Cricetulus griseus: one gene and its partner. The protein of the gene in region 1 binds, or shares a complex with, the protein of each later gene. Links are inferred from orthologs where the notes say so. Each region holds a gene or a part of one and is shown on either strand. Other genes may lie near its edges.

Region 1 (3,820 bases):
TTTTTGTCACTCTAAACAAGAACTAACTGTTATGGCTTAGTTTATTTTTAAGTATTTTTACTATGTGTATTTTTGAATGTATTCTTTTCTCCCATGTCCACCTATAAGACCAGCATAACAGTAGCTCTTTCAAATTTAAAAATAAAAGTAGGGAAATCATAACAGACACCAACAAGAGTGAACCCTGGAAGCTGTGTCTTAACTTTCCCTGTGTTACAAGAAGACATAAAGACTGGGACAGAGCTGTGGATCCAACCATGTAGATTCATAAAGAGACAAGTTAGGAAGTACAGAGAAACAGAAGTGAAGGGATCAGACCCTCACTCAGTCCCTGCTTTAGCAGCCATGACAGGCTACAGAAAAAAACACCTAGGCCTCTGACACAAGGAAACTCCAGATCCTCTGGCCTCCAGGAGCCTAGAGCCAAAACTAGACACAAAGAAACTCCAACTGCCCCCCTCCCAAGCCTCCTAGAATCCTGGTTCCTAGGAACTGTTTGGCCACAAACAAAACAAAACAAAAAAAAAACTCCAGGGGAGACCAAAACCTCCCCTGTAGTTTCCAGGATATAGTTCTAAAAACTATTGGTATCTATGTACAACAGGCCACCTGCAAGTAACAAGACAAAGCCATAGAAACCACAGAATGTTCCCTCTCAGCACTGACCAATGAGAATAATTGGTACACAGGTATTTCATGCCAAAATACGACTTTTGAGAAATTCTCCTGATTGTTCCCATATATCACCCAATCAGAAACCAACCCATACCTACTGATGTAACTTTTGTCTTTAAAACCTAGCAGTAGACAGGGAACTTCACTCCCTCTGGAGGCTGCTGCATTGGCTAGCCAGACAGGGTCCCTGTCATGGTTGGATGAACAATAAAACCTTGCTTTTACAGTTCAGTGGGTCTGTCTCCCTGGTGGTCTCTAGGTGTCTTCACAACTTGGGCACAACAAGAAGTAAATGACAAATTATAATTCACAGACTTGGGAAGGAAAAACTACAAAAATGGTACTGAAAAGACTAGTTTATCAGATCTGAAACCAGGTCTGTATGACTGAAAGTAGTTAAACAATTATTGCTGTTCTTTGAGAAATGAGCAAGGGCTGGAGATGCCTCAGCACTTTAGAGCACTGCTTTTGCAGAGGACGTGGAGTTGGTTTTCAGCAGCCACATGGTGGCTCACAACCATCCGTAACCCCACTTACAGAGGATCTAACACCTTCCACCTCTGTAGGCACAAGCACAAACCTGGTGTGTGGACATACATGCAGGTGAAACACTCATAAACTTAAAATAAATCTAAAAACAATTTTAAGTGAGAAAATTTCATAAAGCATTTAATTAGTGAGTTAGTTTGGTTTTCTGTTGTCTGTTATTGTTTTGAGTCAGGGTCTCTTGTAGCTAAAGTAGACTGGCCTTAAAGTTAAGACCCTCCTACCTCAGCCTTCCAAGTGCTGAGTACAGAGGAGTGTCACCACACTCTGTATCATCTGTGTTTATTGATACGGCACTGACTTGGAATAAACTTGACTTTAAAACTGATCCTTTGATAGCTAGTGGTTACCAAGTACATTATAAAACTGGCTTAGTAATGACAATGTTCTGATGGATGCAGAGCTCTCTGGAACTATACAACTGTTCTTTGAAAACAGTTGTGGAGCTGGAGGTGTACTCCATCTATTGCAGGATGTGTGCTTTGCATTTGGGAGGCCCTGTCTTGAATTTCCAGCACCAGGGGAGAGAAATAGAAAGAAAATCAAAGAAGACAGACTCCCATACATAAATATAAACCTTGCACCTAGGCAGTCATCTCAGGAGCCAGCAAAAACTTAAGCCTGTATTTTCTGTACTTCTTGGGCCAGTATGGATATCACATTACCCTAAGTAGCATAGCTCCAGTCACAAAGCTGAACATGGTCCAACCATGAAGCCATCCTGTCTCACTGACTTATCTGTATCTAACCAGATCTCATAGCTCTATCTTTAAGAATAGTCAGGTGTGGTGGTACACACCTATATTCCCATCTATGACAGAGGTTGAGTCAGAAGGACCAGACCAAGGATTGAAAATCAGCCTGGCCAATATAGTGAGACTCCTATCTCTAATAAACATTGCAAAACAAAACCATAAAAAGGAAGATATAGTTGAAAGAATGAAAAATTCACTGAGAATTCTATAGTTAACAATGTAAGTATTATTAACAGTTTGATTTTCCCATTTTTTTTTGTGTGTTTACAGATAAAAATTCACTTACAAATGAAGACCAAATCAAATGTAAAGTGTTCTAAAAAGATACCCGTAAGCATGGCATGGTGACACACTCCTGTAGTCCTTGTAGCAGGGATGTGGAGACAAGAGAATCTAGAATTCAAGGTCAGCCTGGGTTATACAACCAAACCATCTCTCAAAAATGTTTTTATGTTCTTAATATTCCTTAAAAGCATATTTAAGTCAAGAGTGGTGATACACACCTGGAATCCAGCATTTGGAAAGTGGACAGTCAGGAGTACAGGGTCATCATAGCAAGTTACATAGCAAGTTCAAGGCCAACCTAGACTACACAAGACCCTGTCCCAATCTTCTTGCCCAGGAAAAAAAGCATTTTTAAGTGATTAATACATCACTAAAAGACATAGAATAGTCTTTGCTCTGCATGGCCTATTCACTTTACTTACAGGTTTAGATGAAATCTAAGTATCTAGATTGAAGACGCAAACACTCCTCTTCCTATTTTAGACTTACCTCCTCCAAGCCCTCCAGCATCACTGCGGACTTCACTCACCCTTCTCGGGGTTAGGGGAGAGCCAGCAATACAAATTTCATCTGTTCTTTCTAGGTTTTGAGGTGGCATTACCTACAAAGAGTTATTTCCACAAAATCTTAATAGTAGAAAAGCATTTCACTAGAAATACAGTAATAGTCTAAGGCAAAAGGAAACGACTTTTGTCTGATTAGTTATTTCTTAATAAAATTACTAACACTAAAATCTTCAGTCTTAAGAGATTCAAACTTGATACCGGATACTACATGTGAACCAATGTTCCTTACTGATTTGGAGGGTCAGGATAGCAGCCTTAATTTTTACTGTCATGGAAATCTTGAGGGCAGTTACAGGTTCCTCAAAGAACCTGATTCTGTTTCCTCTTTGATACAAGAATAAACCATTAACCACACTGCAAACCCATGCCTGCCAAGGGCAGACCCCAGCTCTAACCACTCTCTGTAGCATGAGGACCATAAACAATATTGATATGCTTCCCTTACAGATAGGTGTTAAGATATTGTCACAAACCTCTTCACATGTAGGAACTCTGTTTTCATTATCTCTAATTCTGTCCCACAGTGGGGACTCTGTTTTCCATGCCAAATGATCTAAAATTTGTTCTTCAATCTGGTTGAGGTGTTTCACCACTTCTCTGCAAAGACCATCTTCTGCTCTAATAAATACTTCTATTACCTGAAAAAAGAAAATGCCCTGGTTAACTGAGTAACAATTACTATGATTTTGCATGCAAAAGTTTTATGAGTATAAAAGCAAAATGAGCCGGGCGGTCGCGGCACATGCCTTTAATCCCAGCATTTGGGAAGAAGAGGCAGGTGGATCTCTGTGAGTTCAAGGCCAGTCTGGTCTACAAGAGCTAGTTCCAGGACAGCTAGTTCTAGGGCTACATAGAGGAAACCGTTCTCAAAAAAAAAAAAAATTAATGAAATGAGGGGCTGGAGAGATGGCTCAGCAGTTAAGAGCACTGTCTGCTCTTCCAGAGGACCTGAGTTCAATTCCCGGCACCCACATGGCAGCTCAAAACTGTCTG
Region 2 (3,820 bases), on another chromosome or scaffold:
AAGAAGGTAGGTCCCTGGATGAAAGACAGGAATCTGTCCACTATGGGTCTGTGCTAAAATACCCCCGAAGGAACCTCCAGCTACAGGTGAGCTCGCTCCACTGGCCTGAGACCGAATCACACTGAGGGGCTCTTCATCTTTGATGTGTTACTCAATGAAGGAAGGGGATGGTGCTGGTCCCTTCCTGTGGCCATAGCCACACAGCCACACCCTTCCTTCATCTCTTCGCAACTAGGAGACACAGTGGCTATAGAAAAAGGCCACAGAACTTGTTGTAACACAGAGGCAACTCTAACTCAAGAGCTCTAGCTACGGAAGCCATGGAGCAGGAAGCTTGTTCAGGCCTTAGTCCTTCTATATCCATTAGGTTACTGCCATGTGTATAGGGCCTCCAAATACTCCTAGACATAGGGCACACTGAAGAAACGGAAGACTGAGCACTATGTCTGTACAACAGAAAGCAGTGCACACTTTCAGGAGTCAGAATGCACCCAAGAGAGGAGAGTCACTCCTGCAAGCAACCTCCACCACTTAGGAACACTGTGGCCACAGCAACACCGCCCACATCTAGCCCATTCCATACACCTGGGATTCATGTGTCTTACCACTTACCACTTGCTGTGTGATATTGACATTGGACTGTCCAAAGGTTTTTGGCAAAAGCTGCTTTCCAAGTGTGTTCACTGTGGATGGGTGGACAGCTACAAGAGACACCACACCTGGAATACAAGGGCACAGGTTAAGAGTCAAGCTGTTCTCTGAGCTGAGGTTAAAAGGGGCAGTTCCAGGAAGATGGTGTTTCTATCAAGAACCCTAGTCTTGACATTGCAGACCAATGGCTCAGTCACAAATGTCCCAAACTTGTCCGTGAGCCCTCCAGTTCCCTCTCCTGGGCACTGGCTAAGGAAGATACTGGGCCCAGGGACTAGCAGGGTTCATTTTACAGCAGGCATCAGACTTACCACAGCACCTCAACATGCTGTTCCATCACTACTAACAGCCCATGCTCTGTCCCGACCCTCGAGTCTTGGGAATAAAATGGCCATTTCTTTGCTTTGATGCGGCAAAATAATGTAGAACACCTTAGGTGTTTCCCAAACACGAAGACTGACACACAGAATCCCCAAGGAAGGCTGGCTTTTCAGCTTCAGAGAGCAATCAGAACATGAACTAGAGCTAACTCTCACTAAAGAAAATGTCTAAATGTCAACTATGAAGACTTTCAAAGGAACCAAATGTTAAGTATAGCTGTATAGATGGTATCAACTGCCACAATTCAGGAAAAGATCCTAAAACATTACATTCACATTTTTGTAACTGTTAAGTACACCCTTCCTATCTTCAGATTTAAGGCAGCAAATTATGAAAGTGTAAGACCTGGTGTTCTCTGACCTGACCAAACAAAGGATTGACAAGTCGAGAGTTCCCCCACCTGACCTTAGCCAAAAGGTCAACAAATGAGTTTTCCCAAGTTTTTTGTTTGATTTTTCATTTTAGAGTATGTCTAGGGATTGAACCCAGAGCCTCACACATGCCACACCAGCACACCATCTAAAGTCCAGTATAAAAATGGTTGTAAGTAAATAGTCCAAAATACTAACAATGTTCTTTACAGAGATAGAAGCAGTCTAAAATTAGGAGGCATAAGAAACCCAAACAGCCAAAGTAACTGCAAGCAGAAAGAGCAGTGCTGGAGGGTTACCAATACCTGATCTCAAATTAGAGCCACAGCAACAAAACAGACCCACAGATCAATGTGTTAGAATGGAAGATCCAGAAATCCAAGGGGCTACAGACACCTGATTTTCAACAAAAATGCCAAAGGCATACACTGGAGAAACAGCAGCCTCTTCTGAGTGGTGCTATGAAAACTAGATTTCTATGTGCAAAAATAAATAAATAAATAAATAAAATAAAACAAAACAAAAAAGAGCTAAATAATCTTGTGCAAAAATGTGTTCCAACGAATCAAAGATCTTAATGCAAGACCTCACACTCTGAAACTGCCAGAGGAAGAGAGGACAAACACTTGAAGCTATAGGAATAGGCAAGGATTCCCTCAAAGGACTCCAACTGTTCGTTCGCACAGGAAATCATTCCAAGAACTGACAAAAGGATGAAAAGGAACAGCCTCTTCAGAGCAAGCAGTCGCCAGTGAAGACAGAGCTTACAAAAAAGGAGAAAAATCTTTGCCAGCTACTCATCTAACGGGATTAACATCACAATTGAAAGAAATGGAAAAATTCAACAACAGAGGAACAAATAAGCCAATCAATAACTAAGCAAATGATCTACATAATTTTCAAAAGTGCAAATAGCCAGTTAATACCAAAATAATGATAAGATGTTCAGCCACTTTAGCCAAGGAAAGTGATAATCAAAATGACACCGAGACTCCATCTGACCTGACAGAAAACAAGTAACAAATGCTGGAGGATATAGGGGAGGGGAACTCTTAGGCACCGCTGGTGAAGATAATACAAGCTGACACAGTCACAAGGGAAATCAGTGCAGAAGTTCTTTGGGTACTCATATGCATATAGTGTGTGGCTATATGCACTCATATATATGTGTATGCGTATGTGTGTGGCTATATGCATCTGAGTGCATATAGCCACACACATACGCATACACATATATATGACTGAACATAAAAAATGTCTGGAAAAAACAAAACTGGGGGCTAGAGAGGTGGCTCAGTGGTCAAGAGAGAGCACATGCTGCTCTTGAATAGGACTGGACTTGGTTGCCAGCACCCACAAAGTGGCTCACAACTGTCTACAACTCCAGGGTATCTAAGGTTTCTTCTGGCCTCTAGGGGCACCAGGCACACAGGTAGTACACATACATACATGCAAGTGAACACCCACACACATGAAATTTAAAAAGTTAATGCTGGCCGGGCGTTGGTGACGCATGCCTTTAATCCCAGCACTCAGTAGGCAGAGGCAGGTGGATCTCTGTGAGTTCAAGGCCAGCCTGGTCTCCAGAACGAGTGCCAGGATAGGCTCCACAGCTACACAGAGAAACCCTGTCTCGGAAAAAAAAAAAAAAGTTAATGCTGGGAATGTATGCCAGGGCCCTGGACACGCCAGGGTAAGTGTTCTACCACTCAGCTCATTTTGTATATTCAGTCACATTAAGAAATATACGTGATATCATGAGACACACTCAAATGGTAGAAAGTTACCAGAGTAACATGGGTCAACATATCATCACCTCTCAGAGAGCAGTTGCCTATTGCTTTAGGAGCAAGAGCAGCTAACAAAGGGGTAGCAGAGATAGCTCAGAGGTTAAGAGGCTGCTCTTCCAAAGTACCTGGGTTCAGTTCCCATCACCCAAATGGTGGCTCACAAGCATCCACAATTGTAGGTCTGATGTCCTTTTCTGGGCATCCCTGGGCATCTGGCATGCACATGGTGCACAGACATATACGCAGGCAAAACACCCGTATACATAATAGAAATTAATTGGAAGGAAAAAAAAAAAAAAAGCAACTAATCCATCTCAGTAGAAATGAGGCCTCATACTGCCTGCCAGAGGGGACCCCTGCCCTACTTCACCCACATCCTCACTTTCTCTCCTCTAATCCAACACAGGTAAACAGCTATGCTCTCTCTGCACGTTTCATTTCTGGTTTTTAATTCTGTGTGATTGAGACACACAGTAATTTTCTGTGTCTGGTTTACTGTCTTAGTGTAATGTCCTTCCTGTTCACCCCCACTGTGGCAAATGGAAAACTTTAACTTTCTCAGAACATACAATTCCCCCAGTTTCTTTATCCATTCAGCCACTGACAGGCACAGTTGTTTCTGTGCCT

The links.
Region 2: Rbl2 (region 1) and Tfdp1 share a complex: the UniProt entries of both Homo sapiens proteins name them as parts of the DREAM complex. The link is inferred for Cricetulus griseus from reciprocal best matches to the Homo sapiens genes RBL2 and TFDP1.

What each region holds. Positions count from the first base shown.
Region 1 is NC_048596.1:166,771,692-166,775,511, reverse strand, and holds part of Rbl2 (retinoblastoma-like protein 2), read right to left. Parts: intron 3,466-3,820; coding exon 3,301-3,465; intron 2,863-3,300; coding exon 2,751-2,862; intron 1-2,750. UniProt on the Homo sapiens protein: Key regulator of entry into cell division. Directly involved in heterochromatin formation by maintaining overall chromatin structure and, in particular, that of constitutive heterochromatin by stabilizing histone methylation.
Region 2 is NW_023276807.1:67,425,182-67,429,001, forward strand, and holds part of Tfdp1 (transcription factor Dp-1), read right to left. Parts: intron 720-3,820; coding exon 613-719; intron 1-612. UniProt on the Homo sapiens protein: Can stimulate E2F-dependent transcription.